Drosophila melanogaster: one gene and its partners. The protein of the gene in region 1 purifies or fractionates together with the protein of each later gene. This does not show direct contact. Each region holds a gene or a part of one and is shown in the gene's direction. Other genes may lie near its edges.

The links.
Region 2: the proteins of Myd88 (region 1) and Herc4 purify together in Drosophila melanogaster (affinity purification with western blotting; one study listed by BioGRID). This does not show direct contact.
Region 3: the proteins of Myd88 (region 1) and pll purify together in Drosophila melanogaster (affinity purification with western blotting; 4 studies listed by BioGRID). This does not show direct contact.
Region 4: the proteins of Myd88 (region 1) and Tl purify together in Drosophila melanogaster (affinity purification with western blotting; 3 studies listed by BioGRID). This does not show direct contact.

The regions. Positions count from the first base shown.
Region 1 is NT_033778.4:9,301,182-9,311,286, reverse strand, and holds Myd88 (Myd88), read left to right. Parts: upstream 1-2,564; 5' UTR 2,565-3,492; coding exon 3,493-4,018; intron 4,019-5,530; coding exon 5,531-5,820; intron 5,821-5,884; coding exon 5,885-6,053; intron 6,054-6,126; coding exon 6,127-6,313; intron 6,314-6,951; coding exon 6,952-7,393; 3' UTR 7,394-8,464; downstream 8,465-10,105.
Region 2 is NT_037436.4:1,310,365-1,319,636, forward strand, and holds Herc4 (HECT and RLD domain containing E3 ubiquitin ligase 4), read left to right. Parts: upstream 1-3,331; 5' UTR 3,332-3,544; exon of another isoform or gene 3,545-3,610; 5' UTR 3,611-3,645; coding exon 3,646-3,726; intron 3,727-3,793; coding exon 3,794-3,971; intron 3,972-4,108; coding exon 4,109-4,345; intron 4,346-4,521; coding exon 4,522-5,248; intron 5,249-5,314; coding exon 5,315-5,576; intron 5,577-5,636; coding exon 5,637-5,960; intron 5,961-6,020; coding exon 6,021-6,311; intron 6,312-6,370; coding exon of another isoform or gene 6,371-6,373; coding exon 6,374-6,969; intron 6,970-7,026; coding exon 7,027-7,252; intron 7,253-7,307; coding exon 7,308-7,421; intron 7,422-7,484; coding exon 7,485-7,637; 3' UTR 7,638-7,966; downstream 7,967-9,272. Other genes in the region: Ctr9, read left to right, coding at 264-1,344; sturkopf, read right to left, coding at 1,566-2,296, 2,356-2,548.
Region 3 is NT_033777.3:27,248,438-27,254,744, reverse strand, and holds pll (pelle), read left to right. Parts: upstream 1-1,562; 5' UTR 1,563-1,787; coding exon 1,788-2,107; intron 2,108-2,165; coding exon 2,166-2,831; intron 2,832-2,894; coding exon 2,895-3,414; 3' UTR 3,415-3,614; downstream 3,615-6,307. Other genes in the region: TfIIA-L (transcription factor IIA L), read right to left, coding at 17-217, 1,120-1,143; TTLL6B (tubulin tyrosine ligase-like 6B), read left to right, coding at 3,913-4,337, 4,395-4,691, 4,749-4,902, 4,967-5,601, 5,663-6,203, 6,267-6,307. UniProt on the Drosophila melanogaster protein: Plays an essential role in the Tl receptor signaling pathway that establishes embryonic dorsoventral polarity; the signal directs import of dl into ventral and ventrolateral nuclei, thereby establishing dorsoventral polarity.
Region 4 is NT_033777.3:26,796,656-26,803,562, forward strand, and holds the start of Tl (toll), read left to right. Parts: upstream 1-2,385; 5' UTR 2,386-2,825; intron 2,826-6,907. UniProt on the Drosophila melanogaster protein: Receptor for the cleaved activated form of spz, spaetzle C-106. Binding to spaetzle C-106 activates the Toll signaling pathway and induces expression of the antifungal peptide drosomycin.

The DNA.
Region 1 (10,105 bases):
AAATGCGCGGAGAAGTTAGATATTTAGCGGATCGATGTGAAACTGTTACTTAAGTGCAAAACGAGCTTGTTGTCGAATTAATTTTTAAACGGATTAAACTAAGTGAATCTAAGCTAAATGTTAAATGTTTTTTTAGGTGTTCAATGTTACAATTATTTGTGGTCGAGCATCCGACGAGGAAGAATTGATTGCCCAGCCTTCACCAAATGAATAAGTTTATAAACCTGTGCTAACTCAGTTGCAAGTCAAACGACAAATTTAGCTTGAAGCAAACTTCTATCGGTTTCAGCCAACAGAGCGTTGCAGGCTTGAAAGCAAAGTTGAGAACGAACTTCCCTGACCGCCCATCTTTTAGCCCAGTTACCAATTAGCCGGATATGTATTTATCAACCTAAATGTTTCCCAATACTCGCCAGCCCGATTGCACAAAGGTAATTTAATAGGTTTTTGGTCTCTGGCGTTAAATTAATGTGAGATTCAAAGATACTTTGTAGCCACAAAACAAATTTACATGCATAAACATCACATGAAAACAAAGAGAAAAATAACAAAGTGCATGATTTTAGGAAATATCTTAAAAACAAACAAATTTTTGTTTTTCCATTCAAAACTGATACGGTTAACTCTTAACTAAAAACTGGCTAAATTATTTGCAATAAATATCTGATTTAAGAGCACATGTTTCAGGTAAATTACGTGATTTTATAGTTGGACAGTTTCAGCTTTTCCTTACAATTAGTTTTCTCTGTATACGAATTTATTTGTTTTTAAGCCATTTGGCGAGCAGGGAAGCGGAATTTCAATGGCGGGCAGGGCGAAAACAAATGGAAAGCTTTAAATTAGCTCAATAAATTGTAAACTTAAACATTTAATCTACTTAGAGCGGGTCGTTGTTAAATGCAATGCAAGTACATCTGGGACAAAGAATCACACACCTCATTCAGATTTGTAAGATACGCATTTTGGCCCAGAAAGCCATTCGAATTTGACCACAAATACACACAGGCTAAAACAGAGGCTAAAATAATCAAATTTGTCGCCAGGCAGTCACAAAGGATATTTAGTATATACAATCAAACAACAATATACTTAGTAATTGCATTTAACACATGGGGCAGAGCATATCCACTAGGTTTGCAAAATTGATTTAACTGCATGCTTAAACTAACGAAAGTAAAAAGGAGATTAACTGAATGAAGGAGGTAGGGGAGACCTAATTAAAAGAACACAACTAATGTCTATATTTATGGCTAGCTAAGTGTAAAAATGTAAGCTGAATTATTATACAAACAACTACAATCGAAGCAAGTAAATTGATGTAATTGAAATACTCGAAACGTTCTAGGGCGAAATACCAATGAATATTGAATAATGACACAGGTTAAACACAAACACGCAGCAAGCATAAATTAATGAATAACGAAATTATTTCTCGAGAAAAAAATCAAACTTTTTAGCCTTTGAACGAGAGACTTTTGGTGCCCAATCCAGTTTGAGCAATTATTTACAAGTGAAAAATGAACGAAATACAAAGAAAGACACACAAACCACACCACACACAGGCAGATGTATTGTAAATAGAGCCACAAACAAACCAAATGAGTAAATACCAAGTAGGTACATTAATAACTAATGATGGGGCTTATCCGAGTAAATCAACATTAAATAAATTAACAACGGAATTCAAACAAAAGCAGGTAACTTCAACTTCAACTTGTGTGCAAGGCATCAACTTTTACTGTTAATTGTTGCTGGCAATGCAAAACGCAACGCCGACCGAAAAACGAAAACTACAAAAATAAACCATGAAAAAGCAAAACAAATATATTTAAAATACATTTGAACGCCTTCAGCGTTTTATTCATCAAGCAAAGCAAGAAATGTTGAATCGAAAGAAAAAGTCAAACAAAGCCATAAAAGCGATAAATCAATTTGTGTCACCTGTGTAGTAAGTATATCTCAGTATTTGTAACTGAAAATGAAAAGCGTTGAGGTGCAGGCATCAACCACACAAAGAACAAACAAAATCAAATGAAAATAAACTGAATTTACAAGTGCTCTCTGACTATTATTTACGAGAGTGTGGTCCTTGGTTGGCATGTTCATTTCCCCACATTATCGTCTCAAATCAGTTGATTTCGGGGAAGCAATATTTCTCGGTAAAATGAGTAAGTATGTCTTGGACAGGTCGAAATGTAAAATATTCCTTTTTGAGGCACCATTAAAGGTACCATTCTCTGCATAACTGAAAGGAGTTAGATTGCCTACATCAGCCGGTCGAATAGGAGAGTGCGTTTTTACTCACTTTACTACTCTTCTTGCTTTTGCACTAGCAAGAAATCATTATCAATTATGCTTATGAATAATTAGGAATCCTACGGCAAGAACCAACGTTCCTAAATTATATTTAACCAACCGGAAATTAAGTCAACCACTCTTAGAGCGCCATCTGGTGAATGCTTTTGGAACCTATTAAAGTGTGGCCCGCGCACCAAAAATACCGCAACCGATAACTGGCCCCGATAAAGTACCAAACCTCGCCGATGACTGGCCACCCGAAAAGCTGTGACTCGCCAAGCTTTTGCCCATCGATCGCCACGAGCTTATCGGAATCGCGATCTGATCTGAAAAGTGGGAACGCAGCGCAGATAAATTAATTAGCAATTAGCCAGTGCAAACAGAGTGTTGTCAGCCGACTAGAAAAAGCAGCTGAGCTGATAGTTCCGCCTGTGGCCCCCGCGCTTTCGCCCTGCATCGGAACGAAACCAAAATAAACAAGCGAGTGAAAGGCGGTGGAGAAAGAGCGCGGGAGAGTGAGCGCGAAGAGTAGTCCGTTGGGGAGGAGGCGGAGGAGGAGCGGACAACGAGGCAGAAACAAAAGCACAAACGGCGGACAGAACCAGTCGAAACAAAACAACAAACCGGAGCGGACGCACTCGAAAAAAGCGAAACGAATTTATTTCTGTGCTTAGGGCGACACTGTGTGCGTGCGCCACTGATTGTGAGTGTGTGTGTTGTGTATATTTAAACAATATTCAAAAAATCATACGCCAGACGAATAAAAAACGCGACGAAAACGAAGGCGAAGATCTCCATCTCCTCTCGCAGCGGAGCAGACAGATAAATAAAAACAGAATCCGAGACAGCAACAACAACGCGACTGTGACGCGGCAAGGTGCTGGAGGTCACTCGGTCCATTTCGCACCGCACTGAAGTATAGAAGTTTAGCAGTAAAGCACCACCCCCTTCTAACCAGTTTCAGCTTCATCCGCCCGCAAAAAACAAAAAAAAAACAAGCACGCGCGATCGGAAAACTCGAAAAAATCTACAGAGCAGCACAACTCACGCGCTTCATCGTTTTATTGCTCGCCGCCCTCTCGACTGATAAACGTCAGTTGATAAATATATATCGCATCACATCGCATCCACACTAAAACAAATACGCCAGCAAACAAACACCAATTATTCCAATAAAGCCAGCGCCAAGTGCGAATGCGCCCTCGATTTGTATGCCATCAGCAGCACTCGGTGGCCCATTCCCACTACCAGCCCCACTCCCACTTCCATCACCATACCCACCGCCATCCCAATCCGCCCCATCACCATCACATTTACGGCGCCACTGACGTCAGTTATCGGCGTTATCGCACCGCTGGCATGGTGGTGGCCGAGGGAGTTATGGACTCCGGGTCGGGATCGGGCACGGGAACGGGCTTGGGGCACTTCAACGAGACCCCATTATCCGCACTGGGCATCGAGACCCGCACCCAGCTGTCCCGCATGCTGAACCGCAAGAAGGTGCTGCGATCCGAGGAGGGCTACCAGCGGGACTGGCGCGGCATCTCGGAGCTGGCCAAGCAGAAGGGATTCGTCGACGAGAACGCCAACAATCCCATGGATCTGGTGCTGATCAGCTGGAGCCAGCGGAGTCCCCAGACCGCCAAGGTGGGCCATCTGGAACACTTCCTGGGCATTATCGATCGGTGGGACGTCTGCGACGATATCCAGGAGAATCTGGGTAGGCATTAACTATTTTTTACTTATGGTAGTCGCTATCTATCTATAACTAAACTATGTCACTTGAGTTTTGAGTATCATTTGTTTTAGATTAGCTTTTAAATGATGGTCTGACGATTCGACTTTTACTTCAAAATGCCATCGTGACAGTGAAAATTTAGTTAAACGTCTAGACTAACTATGTATGTTTGACTGTTCTCGAGTTTGCGAAGTTGAAGAGGAATTTTAAATAATGTACTTATCAAATGATATGTACACAAATGTTGGAAATCGGAAAATGAACCATTAAATTTTACTTTAATGGCGAGCCACACTTATCAATTATTTTTGGCTGATCCATTTTTGGTTTTATGACCGGAAAAGCCGTTTCGAGTTTATAAAAATGGACGTGGTAATCTATATAATATAGGGAGTATATGCAGAAAGCGTACATATTTAACTTATCTATCGCACATTTATCTAAGTCAAACAAAGCTTATCGTCGGATACATAAAACTATTGAGTTATGATGAGTAGATACGTAATGACAGAAATAAAAGTCACCCACTTTCCCATGATTAATTTGTGTTTATTTCTATTTATTGTCAAATAAAACGCTTCGACTTACAAGATTTTTATTACCACATCCCGACAAATTGAAAAACACACAGCCATAAAGAAAAAATTCAAAACAATAATTTCTAAAAGCCGCAAACAACAGAACTTAAACTATAGAAAATGCCAATCAGTTAAGAACGAAATTTTCTTATTTATTTGCACAATGGGGATTCACCCAGCAAAAACTGTTGTCATTAATAAAAAACCTCGAACAGTCAATTTTGTTTAGGAGCAGATGTTGTATAGATATATTCGTTGTGACCAAAATGGTTCGATTTAAAAACAAATGAACGCACTCGGAAGTTGAATGCTTAAGGTATAAAAAAGCACACATAATTAAAATCGTATTAGGAATTTTTCAAAGGAAATGTTTGAATTCCTTTTCTAATGATCTTTCATTGGGTGTTTTAGAAATATTCCAATAAAACTAAAAATAACTAAAAAAGTAAATTTTTTATAAATGTGTCGTTGATGATAACTGCTTGAATCTAGAATTCACTACCTCTTACTAGAATGATCTTTTCTGCTGACAATATATTTGGAATAAAAAGATGGGGAGACAATGGCAGACATCTGAATGGATATATGCATACACTTATCTATTCATACATAATATTGAGTTACAAATCATAAATACTACCAATTTGTTATGAAAGCTTCATATATTAGCGACTGTGTGCAGAAACTCAGATAAACTTCACTATGCCATTCCTTTAAGCTCATTATATATCAACAAAGGGTTATATTTATTATTTAATAAACATAATTTAAGTAATTTGATTTTGACATTAACATGTATAAATTGTGTTGTTTACTTTACGAATGATGTGTTAAGAAAACTTTTTGTGCGGCCTTGTAGTTTTTAGCAATCATAATCCCTTTAGTAAAACTGTTTTAATTTTGCTCTCCTCAAAAGCCAAGGACACCCAGCGCTTCATCATGAAACAGGAGCAGCGACAGACTGCTCTCGTGGAGGCGTGTCCGCCGCCCCCCAGCGACTGCTTCGAGACCAACAACAACTACAGCAGCAGCAACAACATCACAGTGGGCCAAAGTGTGCAGATCCTCAGCGACGAGGACCAGAGATGTGTACAGATGGGCCAACCGCTGCCCAGATACAACGCATGTGTTCTGTACGCGGAGGCAGACATCGATCATGCCACCGAGATCATGAATAATCTAGAGTCTGAGCGATACAATCTCAGGGTGAGTGGGATGCGCTCGGTTGCTGTGTGTTGTATTAAATAACCATGGGATCGTTCTATTGCAGCTATTCCTGCGCCACCGCGACATGCTAATGGGCGTTCCGTTCGAGCATGTCCAGCTATCCCATTTCATGGCCACCCGCTGCAATCACCTGATCGTCGTGCTCACAGAGGAGTTTCTTCGGAGTCCGGAGAACACGTACCTCGTGAACTTCACCCAAAAGATCCAGATTGGTGAGTAGCTGATACGCATTTGTATCGCAGAGCCAGAGTCGCATTACAAGTTCAACGATCTGACTTTCCCCAGAGAATCACACTCGCAAGATCATACCGATTCTGTACAAAACGGACATGCACATACCCCAGACCCTGGGCATTTACACGCACATCAAGTACGCCGGGGACTCCAAGTTGTTCAACTTCTGGGACAAGTTGGCTCGTTCCCTACACGATCTGGATGCCTTTTCGATCTACTCCACGCGCCAGGTGCAGACGTAAGTGTTGCTACTTCCTGCGATATATGTATATGTATGTGTTCCAAAAATACTTGATACATTTTTAGGGGTATAAAATCTCAAGATAATGTAGATTGCTAGCCAACAGATAAATGAGGTTTGCAAACTGAATACGAATACATGAAGTAGTCTAGTCATCCCAATTTAAGAAGCTGTTTTAGAATACATTTTATTAGCTTAAGTTTTTGATTTTACTGTTCAATTATTGCTACTGCTGGTTGTAGGGGCTGCGAAATCGTTTCACAACATTCACATAAAATGTGCAAATGTATACCAACTGCTTGTAAACAAAATATATAAGCAAATATCACATGGCGTACGAGCGATCAACCTTAGAACAGCCTAGCAGGTATTTTTATTTAGTTTTGCTAAATTCAAAGAAGATACGTTTGTTTCAGAAAGATGAACTCATACGACTTTTAAAGTGCCCAGGAAGTAATACACTGCATATGAGTAATCAAATTTGAAACAAATTTATAAACAGGAAATAAATGTATTATATATCTGGGCGTAAGATTATATTGAAGCGAAATTAGTTTTGCTGTTAATTGTAAAACATGTTGGAATTTTATCACTCATATCATAAATTTGGCATTCTCTAAAATTTCTTTATGCAGTCCCTCGCCGGTGGAGGAATCGGCTCCCCGGGTGACCACTCCCAGCATTCGGATTCAGATCAACGACAAGGATGTCACTGATATGCCAAACTACAACAGCTGCAAAGTGCCGGAGGCGGAGACCACAATCGTTTCGGTTTCCGGTGACACCGGCTCACCCCTGCCGGAGCACAAGCCGAAGAAAAAGGATCGCTTCCTGCGCAGAATCACGCACAGCTTTGGAAAGACGGCGCGGAGCGATGGGGCCAGCGGCAAGACTCTGCGTCATGCCCACTCCGTCAGCACCATAAATGTCACGGAACGCGAGAGGACACTCAGTGCCAGCAGCTCCAACATCTCCACCACGTCGGAGAGCAAGAAGAGCTTCATCAAGTGGCAGCCGAACATCCTGAAGAAGGCCCTATTCTCGCGATCCAGCAGCAAGCTGCAGACGCCGGGCTGAGATCATAGTGTTAGGATAGCCATTCATTCGATTTCTCGATTCTTTGATTCCTTGTCGTGTGCCCAGTCTAGTTGTGGCCGCCCAGTCACCAATGTCGTCACCCTCCATGCCTAGTGATAATCTTTAGCCTAATCCTTATCAAGTCAACTAACTTAATATACTTAGACGCACTTGTTAACTTATATAAGACAACAACGAATAAAGACAATACCACATATCCGCACAAATGTATCACAAAAGCACACAGACTACCAAATACGACACGATATTGCTATATGCTCTATGTATATGACTCTGGACTTGATAAACAGACAAATTGGCAATTGCGTTGAGTGAGGTTAAATACGCGACACTGCTAATCGAAGTGCTCAATTAACTGTTAGTCACGCGTTCGATAAGTGACTTACTTAATTTAATTATCTCGCGCGCCGTTCTCGCAACTCAGACCCCATCTGAGAATGAGTAATGAGCATATATAACGCATACGTACATATGGCTGCATTGTGCGAGCAGTGCTTTATCATTTTGTAAACTGCTCAAGCCGTTTTAGACGATTGCTAGCAATAAGTAAACTGTTTGTTCTCGGTACCGCCATCGGCTGGTTGCCTCATGTGATTAGCTCTAGCCTAGCTGTTACCGATTGTTACTGATTGCTGTGAATGCGTGCCCATATGCCTGATGTGCACCTAAGCACACTCACTTGTTATAAAGCAAAGACTATCAATACGTCATCCATCATCACATCGTCTCTTTCAATGTATCTAGAGTCTATATAGTATTATATGTATCTCCGGACAGTGCGTTTCAAAACCATATAGAGTCGATCGACAACCATATATTATGTCCAACTTTTGTCAAGCGACAACGAATGTGGATAAAACGCAATATACATATGTTCCTCAATGTCGGGCATCGAACGCTCGAACTTCGACCTTCGCGACACGTGGCACTTGGCGGTCATGGTTATGAAACGCACTGTATCCATATCGGAAATAAGCTAGCTCCAGTTGAGCGGCAATAAACTGTTCAATGTTTGGCTCAATAATTTATTGTTGAATGTAGACAACCTTTAGTTCGTTCATGTTTAATAAACATTGCAGTTGATGTGTGAATCCCCGTATATGTATTTACATACAGTTGTTCGCGTACATATTGAGTGGAAATGTTTATCGACCAGTTCCGGTTAATCTACAAGACAGTTCGAATCGGTTTAAATTTTTTGTATTTTTTTTGTTTTATTTATTTTCGTTTTTTTATTGTTTAAATCGTTTAATGTTTTAATAATAGCTCCTCGCTCACATTCCTCACTTTATCGCAACCTGCGTTAATTTCGCTCTCTGTGTGTTACAATTTACACTGTGAACAAATATGTTTTTTTTTTAGCCTTACTGCTCCTTGCGACTTGAGCTTGTTCTTTAAACTTTGTTTTTTTTTTTTTGTCTTGTTTTGTTTTGTTTCGTTTCGTTACTTTTAATTGAATTTATGTTTTTGGGTTTTGTTTGGTTGCTTCTCTGCTCAATGTGTTTTGGTTTTTATGTGAGTGTGTGTATTTATAAATCGATTTATATATGTTATTAATTTTATCTGTCGTTTGTTATCCGCTTAGCTTGGTTTTCCTTTGTTAGAGTTATTTTAATGATTTCATTATCGTTTAACAAAATTAATAAAAACAGTTTGTAATTTGTTTGTTCTTTGTTGTATGTATATGTTAATTGATCAATTTATCGTAATTCGCATATTAAAACAATGTAACGCATGATGTTGCATCTTCTGCCTCGACTCGCGCTCTATGAGTATTATTTGCAAATTGTTTCGTAGCTTAATTAATGCCTTCTGGGGATGTCTTACATTCGTGTTGACTTGTTATTCATCTTATAAATCTAACTGATTGCATTTACACAGAGTGTGTGACGACGAGTCTGAGTGGAGGGGCAGGGAAGGAAAGGGAAGGGTCAGAAAGGGGCGGGGCAGGTTGGGTCAGGATCGTGATGTGGAACTGGAACTGGAACAGAACCTATAGGTTATTACTAACTCAACCGCAACCAAGGTTCGTGTATGTAAGTGTGTGTTTGTTCGTTTAAAGCGTTATCCTCTATAGTTAAGTGTTAACAATGATTATGATTATGGAAGTCAGCTGAAGAAGTCTGTATCGGTTTTGAAGTTGAGTTACCATCATATTGCGAGTTCCCGTCTTATAACTATGTTATGCATAGGTATTTCCGTTCTACCTTCCTCTCCTCAACCTCTATAACTCGACTCCCCTCCCTCGTACTCCGTCCTTTAATCATACATACATACACATGGAGATATATTCATCATCGAGTTTTGGGTCGCTTGTCGTTCTCGACTTACTAATAAATTAAAACAACGCTAATGAATTTTTTTTTCGTCTCGCTAATTGTGAGTTCTCGTTTAACGTTCTTCTTCATCGCCTGCTCCGCTCTCCACTAACTTTTCATTTATTATCGTTATCAATCAATTATCAATTTCAATTTTCATTTATACATACTAGGTTTTCATTTAATCTTTTTTCGCTTCAATGCTTTAGTTTTGTGCCTTGGACAAATGTCTGTTAAAAGTCGCTTTCTTATTCCACTTCTCGATTCCGTTTTACATTTAAGTTAGTTTTGGTTAGATGGGAGTACAGTGTTGGCTGATCTCAGCATAAGGTCTTAGGATCTAATTGCGCAGCGGAAGTTTCTAAATCGAATG
Region 2 (9,272 bases), on another chromosome or scaffold:
TGGTTATTAGAGTACCAACCAAGTGATAACGTGAATTTGATTATATTTAGAAGTACAGCAGAAATGAGTAACCATTAATGGCATTTTAGCTTATCAGATCAGATTAGATATTAATGCAAAGCAATCATCATGAACTGCTAAACCGAAGATTGGATTAGATTAGCTGATGATTTCCTTGATCATGGTCAATAACTATTTCTATGAATATGTTTTGTTTCGTGCTTAAAATCTCACTCACAATATCCCACCCCAATCTCTTATAGATACTTCCAATATCTGTCCGTGCACGGGGATAAGAATCGCTTCAACATTGAGGTGGCTGGCATTGAGGCAAGCACCTGCCAAGATCTTCTCTCTCAGGCCCAGTACCATGTGGGCCGTGCACGTCGCATTGACGAGGAGGAGCGCTCGTTGCGCCGGAAGCAGGAAGAGGAGCGCGAGGCCTTCAAAATTAAGGTGGCGGAGCAGCGCAAGCGGCGCGAGGAGGAGGCAAAGACCTCCAGGGACCAGTTGTTAGCCAAGCGGCAGGAGTACGTGGAGAAGACCAAGAACATGCTCATCATTGCGGACGCTCCACCTGAAAAGGAACGCAAGAAGGGTGGTGGGCGAGGTCGTAAAGATGACTACATCTCCGGTACCGAAAGCGATAACGATGGAGCTCGTCGTGAGGGAGAACGTCCCTCGAAGAAGAAGGGCAAGGGGGAACGCAAAAAGGGTGGCGGTCGCAAGCGCAAAACGGAGAAGTACGAGAGCGACAGCGAGGAAGAGCCAGGTGCCAGTGGCAAGTCGGGAAAGAAGAAGGGCAAGAAGCCGAAGCCGGTTAAAGAGTCCAAGGAGAAGCTTTCTGCCAAGCAGCGCCTCAAGGTGCTTTCCAAGGAGACGATCTCCACCAGCGAATCCGAGTCTGACGGCAAGCGCAGCAAGAGCAGAAGTAGAAGCAGGAGTCGAAATCGCAGTGGTAGCCGAAGTGGCAGTGCCTCTAGAAGCGGCAGTGATCGCGAGGCTAGCCGCAAGCGCAGCAGGAGCAGAAGTGGATCTGGATCTGGGAGTGACAGTGATGAAGCAACTAAGCGGAAGCGCGCCAGGAATCGCATCGAATCTGGCGGGGAATCGGATAGATCTGGGTCCCGTGCTCGCTCCAAGTCGAGTTCCCGTTCAAGATCTCGATCCAAGTCCGGATCTCGATCGAGGTCTCGCTCCAAGTCGGGATCCCGTTCGAGATCGCGCTCAAAGTCCGGTTCCCGCTCGAGATCCCGCTCGCCGTCGGGTTCAAGATCCCGCTCTCGCTCTGGCAGCCGATCCAAGTCCGAATCCCGTAGCAGATCAGGGTCCCCGGAAAAATAACGCACCTCTCAACCGTGTTAAATCACTTTTGACTATATTTAGAGTTGTCTTCGAGAGCTGCAAAAAGATACTAATAAAAACGAACTAATTGCCACACAAAGGCAGTGGAGTAATTGCTATTGGTTTGCTGTTCAACCGTAATCCGGATTCCCAAGTCTATTGGCATGGATGGATTAGGTAATGGACAGGGCTGATTGTCTGGGCCAGGTCAACAATCGACTTCAAACACGTCTGTGCTGCTGGATCATGTCTCTTACGATTACAGCCATAGGCTGCGAGTGGCGCAGGACGAAAGCGTGGTCGATCTTCTTGGTGTCCAGCTGGGCGTCCACCTTGGGGTAGTCTTTTTTGAGCTGGTCATAGTAGGAGATTGGTACCCATCCGTCGGTAGTGCCGTAGTAAAACTTGAGGAGGTCCAGGTTCTGCTCTACAATCTCCCTTTGAATCCCGCGAACCCTGGCCATCTCATCGTCGGCCAGGAAGACCACCTTCTCCGCTACCGATGGTTTGGAGTACTTTAGGGCGGTGCCCAGAAACTGTCGTGGAATGGAGAAAATCAAGAAGTAGATCTGTATCAGCATCAGGCGCAACCACACGGGCAGAAAGTTGAAGAAGCTGAAGAAAATGTAGCCAAACACGGAGTACAGGGGCATGGCCACCTTGGTGAACACCCATCCATTGGGCGACTCCATCATCCGCTCGACGGTGGGGAACAGCATATAGCACTTTTGGATGCGACTCCGTATCCGCTCGTTTTCCAGCAGCTGCAGGATCATCCACGCTCCGATGGAGTGCCCAATCAAGTGGATCTTGACATCACTTGGCACGTATTTCTCGATGAAGGCGATTTTATGCCGGATTTGTCCGTCCAAATTGAAGAGCTCCTCGTTGCCGCTGAGTTGAGGAACCTCCCGAATACTGGCCTCTGGCGGATCATCATGGCCAGCGTGCCCTGGAGGGAACATCAAGTGTGCTATTACCGACTCAATGTGGAAACGCCAGCACACTCACCTATCACCCAAACTGGAAGATCGCCCAACTCCTTTTGCAAAGTGCCTGCGAACTCTGTGTAGAAACCTGGCAAACCGGGATTGCCAGTTATGCAGATGACGATCTCCTTCTCGGTTATGGTCTCCTCAATCCACCTGCCCCATGTGAATATGTGGGTGGGAATGGAGTTGATGTTGACGTAGGCCTCCTGCATATTTTCCGCTGCTGTTGGCGTGGCAAACTGCGCTGAAAATCAATCGGCACCTGTGTTGATCCCACTCTTTTCACACGCGATGAGTTGTCTAATCCCCGTGGCAACCGGTTTTCCTTTGTCCAACCACCTCGGCTGCAGCCTTTCACGAGTTTCAAATCTTGAGGATTGGCGCGGTTTATCCCCAGGGTTGATAGCTCTGATAAACACTGCTATGTGTTTCGGCCAATTGTTTCCAGCAAGAATGGACAAAGGTCACAAGTTCAGCGGCTTAAAAACGGCTGATACAGAAACCAGGGCGGCAAGCTATGCCAAAATCAGATGTTCTATATTAGCGGATACTTACCATGATAACGATTGCTCAGACAGAGAAAAAGTGTAGATAATTTTGTTTAAAAAAGAAAAAAACCAAAATGCATTAACTTTAAAAAAAATACTATGGCGTAAATTATTATTTGTCAACCTATTGATATCTCTTTACAGTACTAGAAGCTTTTATAAATTTCATATTAACTTTTACCTATCATCATTAAATATTCGAAAGTACTCCCTAACATTAGTTACCTACGTATACATTTTTTATTAACCAAAACTTATATGTAAAATCGCAAATTGTTTCTTTTTTCGGAAAAAATTGAGAAAACATTTTGATATTCGTGTTCAGCATAAGTTCTAGAGAATTATCCGATCTTAAGGTTTTTCAAAGCGGATCTTAAAAGTCCGCAAGCGATGCAGCCCTAGCTTAAGCCCATTGTCAGGGCTGCCAACGTGGGCAATGTGGCCCTATCCCAACCAGTTGGCATCGCCACCATTATTTATTGGTTTTTTGTTGCTGGTTTTTGAGTTTTTATATTTTTTTTCTAGAAGGCCTAAAATTTATAGAGCGTTGTAGGTAACAGGATTCAGGATTAGACTTAGATTCTGAAGGCACACCCATCGAAAGCTTGACGAGGCATGAACCGAGCAATTGGAATCGGGAGCAAGTGGACACAAAAGAATGTAGCTAACAATTGGGGACATTCTCGAAAATTCTTGTAGCACCAACAAGTAAATTATTATACCCAGAACAACCGAAGGAGCTATTGGGCGGATCCAGAGCAATGGCATCTGGCAAAGAGCTCTATTGCTGGGGAAGCACGTCACATGGTCAATTGGGACTTGGCGGAATCGAGGACGAGCAGGTAGATAGATGACTTTCGGATATAAGCCCACTGATATTACTTTTGTATGCCATTGATTTCCTCACAGATCCTCACACCTAGTCAGATACCCTGGACACCGGACACTGCTGTACAGCAGGTCGCCTGTGGACACCGACACACTCTCTTTCTGACCGCCACTGGAAAAGTCTACGCTTGCGGGAGCAACGACTACTCCCAGCTGGGCCACGATCTGCCCACCAAAAGGCCACGTATGTCGCCATTTCGTATGTAATCTTCATTTATCGTCTTGTCTGTCCACTCTCCACTAACTCCACCTCATCTCCATACTCACCAACTACGCGAGCCACTGCTGTGAACCGAGTCTAAACCCCGCAATCATCTTCCGGCCGACTTTTTGCAGTGCTTATCCCCGAACTGCAGGATTACGTGATCATCCAGATCTGCTGCGGCAGCCGCCACTCATTGGCGCTCTCCGATTGGGGCCAGGTCTTAAGCTGGGGCGACAACGACTGCGGCCAGCTGGGCCATGCCACCGATAAGGAGATCGTGCAGCTGCCCAAGGTTGTGCGGCAACTGGTCACAAAGACGGTGGTGCAGATCGCCTGCGGCAACAATCACAGCTTGGCACTGACCAGTTGTAAGTATGGAGTGAAATTTAATGGATTCCATTCACTAGATACACAGATACACATCAGAACTACTTGAAACAAGATAAGATAATTGTATTTCCCAAGTTTAGGGCATTACTAAACAATTCTTATCTAAAGCTAAACAACGATACCTTCCGACTAACATCATCCTTGACGTTTCTAGGTGGCGAGCTGTATTCATGGGGTTCCAACATCTACGGTCAGCTGGGCGTGAACTCCCCCAATGATTTGACACATTGCAACTATCCCCTCCGACTAACCACTCTGCTGGGAATTCCGCTGGCCGCAATTGCCTGTGGAGGCAATCACTCGTTCCTCATCTCCAAGTCCGGTGCGGTGTTCGGATGGGGCAGAAACAACTGCGGGCAACTGGGACTGAATGACGAAACGAACCGCTCGTATCCCACCCAGCTGAAAACGCTGCGCACCCTGGGCGTGCGATTTGTGGCCTGCGGCGATGAGTTCTCCGTTTTTCTGACCAACGAGGGAGGGGTGTTCACCTGTGGAGCTGGCGCCTATGGGCAGTTGGGTCATGGCTTTAGCTCGAATGAGATGCTACCGCGAATGGTAATGGAGCTAATGGGCAGCACCATCACTCAGGTGGCCTGTGGCAATCGGCACACTCTGGCGCTTGTTCCATCGCGCGGCAGAGTTTATGCCTTTGGCTTGGGTAGCTCTGGGCAGCTGGGCACGAGGAGTACCAAGAGCCTGATGCTGCCGCAGGTGGTCATCGGTCCTTGGGTGTCGCCCAGCGGATCAGCCCTGTTGCAATCCAATGATTCACAGGTCTCGTTGGTCATCCGACAGATTTTCTCAGGTGGCGATCAGTCGATTGTGACCACAACTTTGTTTGTAGACAAGGTGCCGCCCGAGGATTTCAGAAACTACAAGTAACTATAGAAGCGTGTTACTTTAGTATAAACATATAAAACTATAAACATATATCTACTTTGCAGCCCCAAATCCCAGATCCTAACCCTAACAGCAGAAGTCACCAAGCAGTGTGCTCAATGCAAGCAGGGCCTTCAAAGCGACATGGATCTACTGAGCTCTATTGAACTAATATTTAGAAGCCAGGCGTGTTGGAATGGTTCCTTTCTGCTGGATCACGACCGACACTTTGGATGCTCGGTTCGCAACCATGGACTGGATCTGAAAGCAGCCCAACTAGCATTCGACAATCTGCGCGCTGTGGAAAATGAAAGCATTAGGCAGGTGGTAAGTTTTCGCCATTACAAGCATCATTGGTATCTGTTTTAATCATTTCATTGTTTTCAGATCTGGGACAATATAACCAAGGAGCTAGTTGGTTCGCTGGTTTGCTCACCGGCAGATGTGGAGAGCATGCGATTATATCTTCTGCTCCCACTTTACCACGAGTTCGTCAACTCCAAGCACTACAAGTCACTGCAGGTTCCGTTTGCCAATGCCATATTTAAGCTAGCAGAGAACCCACGGAAAGTGCTGAACAAGTGGTTGGCCCAAACACCGGCTGAATACTTCGAGCATCTTGTCCAGAACTTCTTGCATGTTGTCATCCATATTATAAGTTTCAAAATGGGCTTGGCTGCCGCTAGTCCCAGCGCCGAAAGACGTCAACAGGTATTTAGATTTCAATATAGGGCCATACCAGTGTCAATTAATTCTCTATTCATAATCTAGCTGCTGCCATATAACACTGAACTCGAGATCATTCTAAAGCTGATGAAAACGCTCTGCCAAATTAACAACGAGCGCCATGATCGCCTAAACTATCAAATCTTTTACTGGCCTGATCTTTCGGATTATGCAGACGTGCAGCAGGAGTACGTTAAATGGATCATGGCCGACACTGCCAGAGATTTCAATATTTGCAACTATTCATTCATTTTCGACCAGTCTGCTAAAACAGCGTTACTCCAAGCGGATCAGGCGCTCCAGATGCACTCCGCCATGGCCAATGCGGCTACCATGGTGGGTTAATGACGCCGAACAGAAATGATTTATGAGTTAATAACTACTTTTTTATCCAGCAGGCATTCTCCTTTTTCAACTACGGGATGCCCATCTCGCAGTTCATTGTGCTCAACGTGACGCGTGAGAATCTGGTGCAGGATTCCCTTCGAGAGTTGCAGCATTATTCGCAGAGTGATCTTAAGAAGCCGCTGAAAATCAAGTTCCATGGCGAGGAGGCGGAGGACGCGGGTGGCGTGCGCAAGGAGTTCTTCATGTTGCTGCTCAAGGATCTGCTCGATCCCAAGTACGGTATGTTTAAGGAGTACGAGCAGTCGCGTCTGCTCTGGTTTGCAGATCTCACCTTCGAGACGGAAAACATGTACTTCCTAATTGGCGTTCTCTGCGGTCTGGCCATCTATAACTTCACCATCATCAACTTGCCATTCCCACTGGCTCTGTTCAAAAAGCTGCTGGGCAAGCCAGTGGATCTCAGTGATCTCCGTCAGCTTTCCCCTCCGGAGGCCAACTCCATGCAATCGCTGCTCGACTACCAGGGCGACGATTTTAAGGAAGTCTTCGATCTGACCTTTGAGATATCGCGGGATGTATTCGGGGAGGCGGAGACGAAGTGCCTTAAGCCCAACGGCAATGAGATAGCCGTAACACTGGAAAACAGGTGAGTGTAGTGACCATTTCTGTTGCGGCACCTGTGCTAACTATTATCCAACTTCAGGCAGGAGTTTGTGGATCTCTATGTTGACTTCGTATTCAACAAGTCCGTCGAGCTGCACTACAATGCGTTTCACAAGGGCTTTATGAAGGTGTGCTCTGGCCGCGTGATTCACATATTCCAGCCGGAGGAGCTGATGGCCGTGGTGGTGGGAAATGAGGATTACGACTGGCAGGCGCTTCAAGACAACTGCGAGTACCGGGAGGGCTACACTTCGGTCGATGATACAGTGAGTTGTAAACTAAAGATGGTCTTCCTAGACATTAACCTTGTATCTGCCGCAGATCAAATGGTTCTGGGAGGTTATTCATGACATGTCCGAGGCGGAAAAGAAGAGTTTTCTCCTCTTTTTAACTGGCAGCGATCGCATTCCCATCCAGGGCATGAAAGCCCTTAAAGTGAGTTCTTAGATTATACCTATATTGCAAAGTGTGTCCTTTACCGTATCCGTACCGATTTAGCTCACCATTCAACCCACCCCGGACGAACGATTCCTGCCCGTGGCGCACACGTGCTTCAATCTGCTGGATCTGCCGCGCTACAAGACCAAGGAGCGCCTCAAGTACAAGCTGCTACAGGCCATCCAGCAGACGCAGGGCTTCAGCCTGGTCTGATCGATCTGATCTGGACCCATTTTTTTACATCGACCTCAAACTACAGGTATTTTCCGAAATCTTCGGATTTCGCGCATTTTGGATTGAAGAATGAAAATTGGCTACTTTCAAAGACAACCCCAACGTGGAACACTCATTTATCAGCGATCAAATCAGCAAGTACAATGTCGTGTTATAGCTTTAAACTCTAGACTAGTTATTAATATCGCATTGTTATGGAGAGAAAGGAATTCAAGGAGGTAAATAAGGTTGGTGCATCAGTCTGAGGACAACAACAAATGTCTAAATTTCCGTGTAACTTTTACCAATAAAGTTATATAATATGGCTTATATATTGTTATTTTCATTGATCGCAGTAACGGTTAAGCTTTAAACCCGATAACGATAGCTTCGCTTCTGTCCGGAAACGAGCCGCGTTGGCAGCACCGTTGGCGCACAGCTGAGCCCGAAATGTGGCGGCAAATCGAAGTCGTCGAAGTCAGTTCAACTTCAACTTTGGCAAGGTGCGCGGCCGCGTGCGGATTTCGTTCGTTAATTTCTTCATTCGCCGCCGAGAACTTTTTCGGACGCTCATTTGCATGCGCTGGGCGTGCGGTGCTTGACATTAACCAACCGACCGATTTCGAAAACTGCGCGCATATATGCCGTCCTAGCCCCGCTTCTTCAAATTATCCACCAACACCAATTCGCTTACAACAAACGTTGTCCAAACGTCACCTTTACCGGGTCAAGCTAACGGTACCCGCATCGGAAAAGAAATTCAAACAGGTAGAGCACTGCGACCACAAAAAAGTAACGACTTCGGGCGACAGTTTGTGAAATTATGGGTACTTAGGCCCCCAGTTTGCAATTACATGTGTGCCATCCTGGTCGCTTGTCCATCTCAAACTTCTTAATTCGCTTTATATGCCGCGAACGAGGCGAGCTGGCCTACAAAATCAATTACCATCGCAACTTTTGCATATCCTGACAGCTAACAAATGTCCGGGCCACAAAATCCAGCGATACCATGCCGCGCACATGAGTGTATAACTCAAAAAAAAAAGTTAGCAAAGAAAAAATACGAAAAAAGCGGTTCTGCCGGTTTGCCCGTGGTCGTGATCTGTGCAGCGTCTTCCGCTGCTTTCTTTCCTTTGCACGATTTGAACTTGGACACCAAACGCAACAAAAGCCACAGCGGCGGCACAAAAGAGCAACAAAAGCAGGAATGCACTGCGAGAAACGTTTCCTCAAGGATTAGTTTAACTCATAAATGCAAATGGTTTACGCAGTTTCTAACTTTCCTAACAACTTTCAATGATAATCAAGGGTGCTTTTTCATGATCGGTTCTTTGAAATAATAAATAATATGGGAAGATGATTCTCCCAGTGCAGCAGCCACCGCAATCGAAGAGATCTGGTTTATTGTGATGCTCCTCTAATAAAGCGAGCGTTTAGGCACCGGCACCTCAATTTCGCCGCTTCGCTCGCTCCTCCGTTCGCTTCCTGGGTCTTCACTCCACACATCGTCTGCGAGGATATTTGTAAACTGGCTGGGGGGGTTCACCTGTCCCTCGCTCCCCGGGGATGAGCTTGTTTGCCCAGGTTTTATAGCAGGAACAAACAGGCGGGGCACACAAAGAGGGTCAACAGGGC
Region 3 (6,307 bases), on another chromosome or scaffold:
GCTCCGTTTCGCTTACCTTTGGATTGTTGGCCACGATGGGTGGCGGATGGGAGCCATCGCCGGAGTCCGGGCTCAGCTCGACGGCCTTGCTAGCAAGCAACTTGTTGCGCCAGACCTGCTTCATCTCCTGCAGCACCTGTTCGTCGACGCCCTCGTCCAGGAACGCGTCCCGCACATTTGTGATGACGTCCTCGATCACGGCATGGTACACCTTCAGCTGCGGGCGAGAGGGGATGCGGTTAATTGTGTATAATTAAATTTGAAATGCACGACAAATCTGGGCTTGTGTTGACTTAAACACTCATTATATTATCGCGGCTCAACTTCACGCTATTAGGGCCTAAACAGTTGGGGGTAAAACAATAGGGATTGCGCAAAAAATCCACGAAGCAAGTAAAGGGCAAGACGCTATAGAAGTTGAAAATGTGGCGCACAGTATGTGGTGAGCCTTTTTGAGCTCCCATTAAAATTCAGACGCAGCTGTAATGTGAATATGCAAAACGCAAATAAAGTATGTAAATTATTTGTTTGCGAAGAATGTCGCAGTGCACATATGTACATAGATACCATGCATATGCTGGTATATATATATATGTACATTGTACATATATATACACCGGTATGCCAGTTGCTTGTTTTATTAATAGTTTGTTTTGCGTTATCAGCGGACGATAAGGAAGGAGGCCCCGACTTGTAGATAATAGCACAAGCTACGCAGCGTGTATTACTGCTAAATATAACCCCCCATGGGAGTTTGAAGTACTACGCGGAAAAGCCGAAAATCGGAAAATCCAGAGGGCAAGAAACATACAAAACTGCAAGGCAACGAACGCACTAACACAGCGACATCCAGACAGACACGCACTCGCATGCACACACATCCACACCCGAGAGGTTTGCAGTTTTGGTATCTCGGATTTCAGCAGTTGTAACTATCGTTTTGTAGTAACTACCATGACCACTGGGAAAGCTTTCACTTTCCCGCGTGGGCGGCGGAAGGAGGTGAAGCTGGAGGAAATGGAGAAACTCCTTGGTAGGATGCCTTCCATATGTCGAATGCAATGGAGCCACCGCCGCTGACACAATTACCGGATCTCGGGGATCCAGCCGCACACTCACCACCGATGTCTGGCATAGCGCCATTTGGACCTTTTTCTCCGCCAGCTTGAGGCTTTTCCGTTCGCTGGTGGGGCTAATTGACGTATTTGCTGAATTATAAATGGGCGAAGCGAAGAATTAGCGATAGCGATGCGTTCGTGACGGTGTCAGCAGTGTGGCCACCTGCGGGGCACTTGAAAACGACGCATGTCCGCCAAACTGCAAGGCTCATTTGGTCATACACTAATTGCCTTTGGTATTTTTTAAGATATTTTAGTATACAAAATACTGTGCAAATTACATAAAATATGTGGAGGTTATTTAAAATCTATTTAATATTTTCATACAGCAAATACCTTTTTAATAATTACTCTGCTTTCTTTTTACTTCTGAATTTTAAACAGTGGCTCCTAAGCATCTACCACTTTTTCGAGTGTATTATTTGCTAGACATTGGCAGCGTTGCCAGACTGCTTCGCTCTGTTAAGCTGCTTTATCACTTGTTGCGCCGCTGTTAACAAGTCATCCACAGGTTTTCATCGAATCGCGTTGGGAATTTACCCAAAAGCGATTTTCGTTTCGCTGCAACAGGTTACCAGCGCCGCCAACCCCTCATCCAACGGGCACTCTTGCATCCGGAGCCGCATGAATCAGTCGCAACCGGTTGAACCGCCCGCCCATAAGTGAAAGATGAGTGGCGTCCAGACCGCCGAAGCCGAGGCGCAGGCCCAAAACCAAGCGAATGGCAACAGGACCAGGTCGCGTTCCCACTTGGACAACACAATGGCCATCCGACTGCTGCCGTTGCCCGTGCGAGCCCAGCTATGTGCCCACTTGGATGCCCTAGACGTATGGCAACAGCTGGCCACGGCCGTAAAACTCTATCCCGACCAGGTGGAGCAGATAAGCAGCCAGAAGCAGCGTGGCCGCTCAGCCTCCAATGAGTTCCTCAACATTTGGGGCGGTCAGTACAATCACACGGTGCAAACATTGTTTGCTTTGTTCAAAAAGTGAGTCAGTTTGAGATAATAACCGCCGAGATCCCAGAAATGACTCCTCTTACTTTAGATTGAAGCTTCATAACGCCATGCGTCTGATCAAAGATTACGTTAGCGAGGATCTGCACAAGTACATACCGAGGAGCGTGCCCACCATCAGCGAGCTGCGCGCTGCTCCCGATTCCAGTGCCAAAGTAAACAACGGCCCGCCGTTTCCCTCCTCCTCGGGCGTCAGCAACTCAAACAACAATCGCACCAGCACAACGGCAACGGAGGAGATACCCAGCCTGGAGTCCCTGGGCAATATACACATTAGCACCGTACAGCGGGCAGCCGAATCCTTGCTGGAGATCGATTATGCGGAGCTAGAAAACGCCACGGACGGCTGGAGTCCGGATAATCGACTGGGACAGGGCGGATTCGGAGACGTGTACCGCGGCAAATGGAAGCAACTGGACGTGGCCATCAAGGTGATGAACTACCGCAGTCCCAACATCGACCAGAAAATGGTGGAGCTGCAGCAGAGCTACAACGAACTCAAGTATTTAAACAGCATCCGGCACGACAATATCCTGGCCCTCTACGGATACAGCATCAAAGGTGGTAAGCCGTGCCTCGTCTACCAGCTGATGAAGGGCGGCTCCCTGGAGGCTCGTTTACGAGCGCATAAGGCACAAAACCCACTACCAGCACTCACCTGGCAGCAGCGGTTTAGCATCAGCCTCGGCACGGCTAGGTGGGATTTATCGTTTCTTTAGTGCTATCAATCTTCTTTAACTTTTCATTTCGTTTCCAAAAGAGGCATCTACTTTCTGCACACGGCGCGAGGCACACCGCTGATTCATGGAGATATTAAGCCGGCCAACATCCTGCTGGACCAATGTCTGCAGCCAAAAATCGGAGACTTCGGTCTGGTGCGCGAGGGTCCCAAGTCCTTGGACGCTGTGGTGGAAGTGAATAAAGTTTTCGGCACTAAGATCTACCTGCCACCGGAGTTCCGCAACTTCAGACAACTCAGCACGGGCGTGGACGTCTACAGCTTCGGCATTGTGCTGTTGGAGGTGTTCACGGGTCGTCAGGTGACGGATCGCGTGCCGGAAAACGAGACGAAGAAGAATTTGCTGGACTACGTTAAGCAGCAGTGGCGGCAAAACCGGATGGAGCTGCTAGAGAAGCACTTAGCAGCACCGATGGGCAAGGAGCTGGACATGTGCATGTGCGCCATCGAGGCGGGCTTGCACTGTACTGCCCTGGATCCGCAGGATCGCCCATCCATGAACGCGGTGCTCAAGCGTTTCGAACCGTTTGTTACCGACTAGATGGGCCTTATTATGTTACCATTTTATTGACGAACTTGAAAAGCTCGAAGGACCATTTGTAAACCATTTCCACATTTTGTGATCAATCGCAATATATATTTTTAACTTTAACATTCCAACGAAAATTTCCCTAAAGACTTATTGTTATGCTTAAATTGTAAATGCTTACCCTATTGTTTATTAAATATTTTTGTACACTTAGTTGTTAGTGGTATGTTTGATGTTCGGAGAAACTAAATTTATGATATGCCCCAAATCGATGATTTAAAACTCAAACGACTCAAGCGACGTGGCCAGTGGAGCTACGTTTTGATTTTAGCGTCATTTCGGTTATAATTATTTTCATTTTCACAACACAATCATCGCAAAATAATATTGTTTTTATTCGTGACGCAGAATTCCGGCTCTAACCATTGACACGAATCAATTTTATAGATATAGCTTTTAGCACGTGAAAAATTTTCAATTTTTAATCAAGGACGACCAGCGGACGAGACAATGAATTTAAAAAATTCCAAGTTTTTCAAGAGGATTCAGGAGCTGCGCCACTTCTCCAAGGAGAAAATACGGAAGGATCGCGAAAAGAGGACCCACGTTGTTCGCGCCCTGGACATGGCTCTTAATGAGCAGCCGTGCTTGGACCGGGAATGGTTCAGTCCGGAGCAATCACCGCCACTGCAGCCCATGTCCCCACGCCGCCGGATGAAGAAGACCCGGTGCCTCAAGAGGAGGACAGCCGCCGACAAGCAAGTGGATGATAACTCCCCATATTACGGACCATCTTCTGGTGAAAACAGCCCAATGCCTGCTGAGGAAGCCAAGCTGCAGGGATTCATTCAACTGAACAACAAGACCTACCGAGTGGAATGCCCCACTCGGGTGCTCAATCCTCCCATGAACGTCGACGAGGAGCGGCCAGCCAGGTGATCTTCCTTAGCTTTGGATCCTTATTGGATAACGCATCTAACATAATCCCCCAGCGAAACCAAGAGTACCATCTGCGTGTCCAACTCGCGCTACGCCATGATTGGGAAGATCTCCAAGACGCTGGGCTACAAGTTGGTTAAGGAGTCCAAGATGTGGAACATCCTCTGGTCGGATTCGTTTCCCGGCGTAGAGCTGTTCAAGAACATGAAGCGCTTCCAGCAGATCAATCACTTTCCGGGCATGATCGAGATCTGTCGCAAGGATCTGCTCTCGCGGAATCTAAATCGAATGCTAAAGATCTTTCCACAGGACTACAAGATCTTTCCCAAGACCTGGATGCTGCCGGCGGAGTAAGTAAACCCCAGCCTCACACTGAAAGTGCTAATCATTGATACCAACGATTTCAGCTATGGAGATGCCATGAACTACGCGCTCAACCACAAACGCACGTTCATCCTGAAACCGGATTCTGGTGCCCAGGGTCGTGGCATCTGGCTGACAAACGACCTGAAGACCATAGGTCCACATGAGCGCCTCATCTGCCAGACGTACATACACAGGGTAATGTATCCGCTGTTCATCCGGAATCCCATACGCTGGCTAACCATCGCATCCACTTTTCCAGCCCCTGCTCATCGATGGGTACAAGTTCGATCTGCGTGTGTACACCTTGATTACCTCCGTGGATCCCCTGCGCATCTTCGTGTACAACGAGGGATTGGCCAGATTTGCTACGAACAAGTACGTGGAGCCCACGCCCGGAAACGCCAACGATCTGTACATGCACCTGACCAACTACTCGGTGAACAAGCGGAACTCGCACTACGAACTCTGCGACAACGATGACTGCGGCAGTAAGAGGAAGCTGAGCGCAATCAACAACTGGATGCGGCGACACAACTACGATGTGGAGGAGTTCTGGAGCAATGTGGACGACGTGATCATCAAGACGGTGCTGAGTGCGTGGCCAGTGTTGAAGCACAACTACCATGCCTGCTTTCCGGGTCACGACAAGATCCAGGCCTGTTTCGAGATCCTCGGCTTCGACATCCTGGTGGACTGGAAGCTAAAGCCGTACATCCTCGAGGTGAACCACTCGCCCAGCTTCCATACCAACGAGCAGGTGGACAGGGAGGTAAAGCGGCCGCTGATCCGGGACACCTTGAACTTGGTCAGCACGGTGCTGGCGGACAAGAGGCAGATTCTCAAGGAGGATCGCAAGCGGGTCAAGCAGCGGCTGCTCAAGATCAGGGGAGACCCGTAAGTGTCTCATCATCATGTCAGCATCATCATCATTGGTAACCCACATATATATTTCCAGACCCGTACAACGTCCGCGTCTTGGTGGCGGCACCTCCAAGCCCAAAATCGATGCCCAGAAGGGCAGTCCGGATGCCCAACCCGTTGATGTTGAACCCGAAGCTGAGGACCATGGTCCACTGGCCCAGCAAATCGCCTGGGAGGAGAGTCATTTGGGCAATTTCAGGAAGATAATGCCGCCACCAGACTTGAGCAAGCTGGACTACTACACTCGCTTCTATGCCCAGTCGCACCAGGTGTCCATCTTTGCGGAGACGGCGGCCAGTAAAAAGCGAGAGGATCTCGCGCGCAAGATGCGCATCCAGCTCGAGGAGAAGAAGGCCAAGCAGCAGCAGATGCTGAACGGGAAGGCCAAGCGGGATGCTAGGAAACGACACACCGTATTGCTGCCGCGGGCTGTGCGCGAGAAGAACCGTATTAACTTCTTCCGGCTGAGGGAGAACTGGTCGCCGGGCTTCATATCGGACGCGGAGGAGCGACTGCGCCACACCTGGCTGCACATGCGGGCGGAGGCGATACGAACGCTCAAGATCACCGAGAATGTAAGTCGGTTCACTTCCAAAAAAAAAGATACATTTATATTTAAAGGAGATATTCGTCCACAGATCTACAGCAATCTCTACGAAACTGGACTCCTGACCAACAC
Region 4 (6,907 bases), on another chromosome or scaffold:
CAATAAATAAGCCAAGTTAGACCGATTCGAGGGGCAAGAGGAGGGGGAGCCGAGTTCCAAGCCAAGATGTTCATGAAAAAAGTTAATTAAGGTGTTTGCCCCGCAACAACAACAAGGCCGGGCATTATATGCTAGATATTTATCTCCCGGCTGGGGAAAATGGATCTGGTTGCATGCCGCAGAGTGTTTGCTTTTGAAATGTTTGTCATTATCGTCGTTAACTTTTTGATGAGTCGAACGTGTGTGATAAAAGTGTCACACGGATTGAAAAGAGCGACGAGCGAAAGGAAAAGAAAAACTAATAACGCAGACGGGCCAGAATGAGTTTGTACGTGTGTGTGAAGAGATATATATATGGATGTTGGGGTATATGTATATAGAATGTATCTTTCGGATACCAATTGCCATTAGTTTATTGAGAATCCGAAATTTATGGCTCTGCGTGTCGTGGCCAACCACGCACAAATGGTCACAAATCTGGACCTGAAACACATGTGGGCCTGCCTTTGGTTCCTCCAGCATCTGTGGCACGTACAAATTTCATTTGTTGCACTATTTATGTGCTTCTCCACTGATGAAAATGAAATCAAATTAAATTTTCGGCACAATTCAAAGTGAAATTTTGCAGCTAACATAAAACAAGGCAAATGAGGAATAAATCTCCCGATGTGTGTCCTGTGCGCTGGGTTTTCCCATGTGGGTACATTGAATGGGAAATTACTGGAATTTCCTTTCGGTCAGAATTACATGCGCATATTTCGGTAATATCTTTGAAATTTACAGTAAATCCTAGGTATTTGAAATGAAAAACACGGGCAGTGTGGCAAATGTGTATATTAATGCATCTTTGCGGGGAGAAGTAGCCATTATGTTGCCTATTAAGCTTATCCAGATTTGCGTTGCTTTGTTTGATTTGACGTAAAGTTATTTGCTTGGAAAGAAAACATCTTAAATCCTTGAAAATTGTGGTGTAAGCCTAGTAGTAAACATTAAAATTGTTGTTGTAATATTTCAACAAATTTATTTAAATTTCAAAGACTTTAGATAATTACCAATTGGGAAATGGAATCAACACAAGATTGCTATGAAAATTGTACATGAATTCAAAGATTATTCATAAGCATGTCCTAATTTTCCATACGCCGTGCATAATTACAGAAAACACAGTTGCAGAGGGATACGATTTCCATTTGCATTTCCCATTCCCCGTCCCTGTCGCACTTCACACGCTGCTCCCCCGGGAGCTATGTCCCATCCTTGTTCCGCATTAGCAGAACGCACTTCCACTTCATTTGAGTCGCAAGCGGCAGAGCGAGAGGGTAGATGTTGTGGAAGTGTGGTTTTAATTGGCACACAACAACAACAGCAAGCAGTCTGCTACGTGCTGGCAATTACATTTTACATTTTACTCAGAGAGAGAGACTAATCAACTAATAAATCCATAATCACTGTTATTACGTATGCTGCCTGAGATGCTTAGACTTTGAAGTTAACCGGTTAAACTTGGCTAACAAGAACTGAGAACTACTGGCCAACAACAACTGCCGGCTTTTCCCCCAAAAATGAAAACAAAACAGTAGAAGGCTCTCTTGCTCTACCACTTTCTCTTATACTCTTATACGAAGTACCTGTATTTCAACTGTTTTCCTCTCTCGCATGACTTTTATCGCATGCGATTTGTTTATAGTGCAACGACCACAGACACGAAGATAATTCGTGTGTCTCTCTCTTTTTCTCCCACGCATCTGTACCTTCGAACGGTATTTGTGGGGTAGAAGAAATTGCTCGACTTATTATATCGTTTGCCACTCAGAAGTTAGGGAAAGAATTTTATTTTTTATAAAAATCCTAGTCAACTAACATAAATCAACTGAAAGCTCGATTCCTCATATTATCACATTGTGTTATTGCTACAAGAACTGTTGTTCTAAAAATTCTTATCAGTACGTCAAAAATATAAAAAAATTTCGAGACTAGCATTTTTATCCAACTCATATTTATTTATAATAAGCTGATTATATATAAAACCCAAACAGCTTTATAGAAATAACTTCACACGTTATTTAAGGTTAAAAAAGTAGCAAGATAGGATGTTATTAAAAGTAGAATATAAAAAATATAATAATAATTTAAAATGTCTTAACAAACTGGAGCTTAAGGAACCAAAAGCAAACAAAATGATATAAAACATATAAAGACTGTGACAAAATTATTAAAATTTAAAATAAAATATATTAATAGGCTGATTACAAATTTAAGTAAATAATGTTTTCTATATTGAGCAAAGGGTATCTTGCCGCCGACTCAGCCACTCTCTCGTCTTTCCCTCCACACTAAGCGCACTACCAGCTCTTCATCTCTCAGTTCTTCTTTCTTTTCGAGTCGAGTTCAGTTTGTTCCGAATCGCCGACGTGAACGCACGCTTGTCGCGCTTGTAGCAGTTGGATTTTTGATTTTCCCAGCCAGAGTCCCGCGTTCGTGTGTTGTGGGCCGCTTTTGTTTGTCTCGTTTTGTGGCCAGCGATTTGGCAACCGAATAAGCCAAGTTAAGAGCAACGCTACGCAGCACAAAATCCATAAAAACAAGAAACACAAGGCGCAATTAAATGCAAATGTGTGAAAGTGTAGCAAGCATTTAACCAAAAATAAAATCGCAAAAAATCGCGGCTTCAAAGTGCGAACAAGCGCGAACAGAGAAGCTAAACAACAGTGCCAGTGCGTGTTTGTTCGTGGCAGCTTAAGAAAAGCCAAATAAATATTAATATTTGCACAAGAGATCGCAGCGGAGTAGCTAACCTCACATTTAATAAAACACGTATTAAAACGGTAAGTATTTACGTCTCCTTGTTCAGTTATTACACTTTGAACCGTGCCATCTCGCTCTGTCTCGTTATCTCCCATTCGATTTTGCTTTGTGCTAAGCTTCGCTTGGCTCGCGCTAAGCTCAGCTATCTCTGTCCCACTCTCTGATCAGTCCAATTCGCCTATAATTGCACAGAAAAAAATTTACCAAATTGATGGCTCATCGGGCAATTGGTTGACATTTTGTTCCAGTTTTGATCACAGTCAGATAAAATCAATTTAAAGTACATAAAATGAGCTGTAAAATATTTGTAAACATCTTTAAATTGATCTATTAATACTACTACTACTACTACTACTACTACTAGTACTCTGCGTAAAACCGTATTTTTTCCTGTGCAAATTGGCGATGAATAACAGTTTCAGCAGTTGTAACCGTTGCACAATTTTCCCCAGTGCTTGTGTGTGTCACACTCTTGTTGTCCACAATTTCCGTGGTTTTTCTCGGCACTTTCCAGGGAAATGTGCAAAATGCTGCAGTGCAGCAGCAAGTGCTCTTCGGCCTTGGGGTGTGCTTTGCGTTTTGGCCAACCCATGAACGAAACAAAAAAGAAAACAAAGCCACACGCATTTGGCCCAAAGCTCACGAGCCAGCATATTAACACTTTGAATTTTTGGCCAAAAACCAGTTTGGAATCGAAAAAACAAACAGACACAACAAAAGTTTATTTACTACCAAAGAGAGCTTCGTTCAACAGGTTTTCATTGCGGGGACTTTTATTCGTATTGAAGGTGGAAATACCTGGGTAATGCAGGTTTCAAAAGTACTTCTAACAAACCAGAAAATGCCCACTTGTGCTTTAAAAGCTAATAAGTTGCTGATTAGAAACAGCAAAACAAAATAAGAGAAGAAGGAAGGGACAAGAATCTTCTCGCTTGTACCAATTATGGTAAAAATCGTATGACCTTATGATAAACTTAGACTTTTGTTTTTAATTCATTTCGATTCTTCTTGGGTTTTCCAACACCATAAATCTCTTCTTAGTTGATAGCCCTTGACCACTAGCTACATTTATATGAAAAATTCGGAAAACCCCAAGATTCAACCCCAAAAGTTCAACGATTATCGCTCAGAAGCAGCAGGTCTTGAATTCAAGAACAATGCTGTTTTAACAATAATTATACAATATATATAAATTTTGATTGTATTTTTTTCCGATAGTTAACATCCTGCCATTGAGCTTCTTTCGCCTGAGGGTTTTCCGAATAACTGTACTCTGGATTTAGGTTAAGATTTTTCTTCTTTGGCCCACATCAAAGGCAAAGAAGCTTTCAAAGCGGCTATAACAATGGCGGCAAACTGAAAAAAAAAAATGCTAGTCTTCGTCTGTGAAGGTAAAACTGCGGAAGTCATTTAACAGTCTACTTAACTTCTGCCAAAAAAAAAAGAAGTGAACGAAAAAAATGAAGTGGAAAACGGCAAACTGCAAACGTTCAAGATGCTCCGCTTGGGTCTTTCGTCTTGGCCACGTTAGAAAGTAGCTGTAATTGTGGCTCCGTTATTGTTATGGCCAAACCGCCACTAGTCCAACTGCAGGCGGTAAAAGTTGCCCAAAATGAATTGTCATACAAACACGTTTGTTATAAATATTTCTGCACAATGAGAGACTCATTTAAGATTCATTGTACTCGCTTTTTTAGTTGTTAGCTTTATTTTTCCCCCTCTCATTATTGAGGGCGTTTGTCCACTCGGTTGATAAGCGAAAAGGCAGAAAAACAATATTCAAAGCTGACTCCGCTTTGGTTTTTACATCTGCCAAGTGTTTTTTAGCTTTCTGCTATTTCACTCTTAGTTATTGGCGACTTGTGTTGATAATTAGCACGTCGGCTTTCAGCGTTTCTATGACTTGTGGTCCGCTCAGCGTGATGAGTCAGCCTCCTAAGCTGAAAAGAGCGTTACGATCGAACCACCATATGTCTTACTCTCCCGATCTCAGATCAGCGGGCGGTTTAACCCAAAGTCAAACCAGATCCGTGACGTAAATGGGAGACAAATACACGCAAAAAAAAAACAAGACTGAAGATCTGAAGATTGTATCTATAAGATCTGTTATTAAAGTGATATGTAATTACATACTACATTCTTATATGATGACTATAATGACTAATATAAACACGTTTTAATATAGTACAAGTTTATATTATATAGCGTAATATCATACTTACCGTATTGTTATCACCTGTTTTTTTTTAACAACTCATTTCTTTTCGTGTGATTTCAACGTGTGAGGTTTTTTACTCTCCAATCAGATTGAACTGAGATAGAACTGCCTGACCAGTCACAGGGCTTATTGCCTTGCATTCAATTAATTAATTTCAATTTTATTGCTTCAGCTGACCATAAAATCGTGAAGGGAGGAATAACCATAAGTTCCCCACTGCGACATTCTCTCGGTGGAGGGAAATGAAGTCGTTGCACTTGCTTTCACCCTAATGCCTTCATCAGCTGCACAAACGAAAAATCTCATTAATTTTCCACTTTCTGTCTATCTTTGGGTTATCTCTCCATTGTTTGTCCCCGTCCCAGTTCCCTTTATGTTCTTACTATTTTTTTTTTTTTTTGGCCCTACCTGCGTGCAGGAGTTTTCCCTCATGAAGTTTTCGGTCGCGACATGTTTTCTGATCCGTGTCCTGTGCTCTGGTCTAGTTCATTAGATGGACTTGGCTAATCGATTTCCATAATCAAACAGATGGCGCCAGAATATGAGAACGAGAATGAGACATAGCAAATGAAGCCGAGTAAATGTTGATATAATAAACCCCGTGTGGCAGGGCCAATTAGGCCTTACTCCTCACCTGTGACACAGCCACATATTTTCTCATTTGAATAAAGAAACACGACCACAGCAGGGGAAACATTAGACGCGCCTAAACGTAGAAATTAGCGGCCACAGAAAACGGGAGGGAAAAATTCCAAAAAAATAAACATACCGAAAAAGAGAAATTTAATTAAAGCCGCATAGAAAAAAATGCATAAATTTAGTCACCCAAAACACCCACCCACCTGGCATGTAATATTTGTAACCTCATTGCGGCGGCAGGGGAAAGGCGGTGTAATTTTCACGGTCCCCGATCTGCAGCTTTTCACCAACTTGGCGGGTCAGTCCGGCATAATGATTAGGGTCAGTGTGGGGTGGAAAGTCGGGAAAACTCCTGCCACCCAGCTGGAAAAGGAAAAGCAACAGCAGCGGCATAAGCATCAGCATCAGCAGCAGGTTGCCAACAATTTCTGCTTATAATTTTCCGTTTTTCATCCTCCTTTTCTTTTTGGCCCGCTTTGTTCTGGTCGAGATAAAAGCATTTGTCATTAGCATAAAATGTTCTGGCTCAGGTTTTGATCTGGAGTTTGGCCCGAAAAAAATTAAAAATGCTACGAATATTTGAACTTCATTAGTGGGCCAGCGAGCCCAAATGGGCACTTGGCTATAATTAAAATTTAAGCTAATTTTAATGCTCAGAAAAGCGGGGAAAGGCAAGCCGAACAACAGTAAGTCAGCAACAATTTGGGCCAGATATTATAAAATACCTCAAATGGTGAATGTCCAACGCTTGATTTAGCTTTAAGAATGGAACACGAACCCAAAGTGAAAGATAATGGATTGGGAAAATGGAAAAACCTACGCTTTTCCTTTGATGGGCATTCACTGATAAGAAATGCCCACGCAACAATAAGAACAGGAAGACACGTTTTCGTAGGTGCCAGTAAAAGGCGATCGAGTCATCATGCCTCGCCGAGCACCCTTGGTAGTACCCTTGTAAACGTCTCAAGATTAAAGTCACCGATAAGTCGAAAATGTACTTAGATGGCCAAGATGCCATGATAACGCCACTCCCAAGGGCCAACACTCAACACTTTGCGTGAATGGTCTGCAATTAAAGGGACTTCTGCTGCGACTCCTGTCAACGTTAATGATTGATATCCGGCCATTCGGCCTGGGAAAATGTTTGAACACACACATATTTTGCCTTGACATGATCCCCAATAACCGAAAATGTCAGGAGCCAGCCCCTCGAATTTACATCAATGGCATATCGCTTGAAAATTT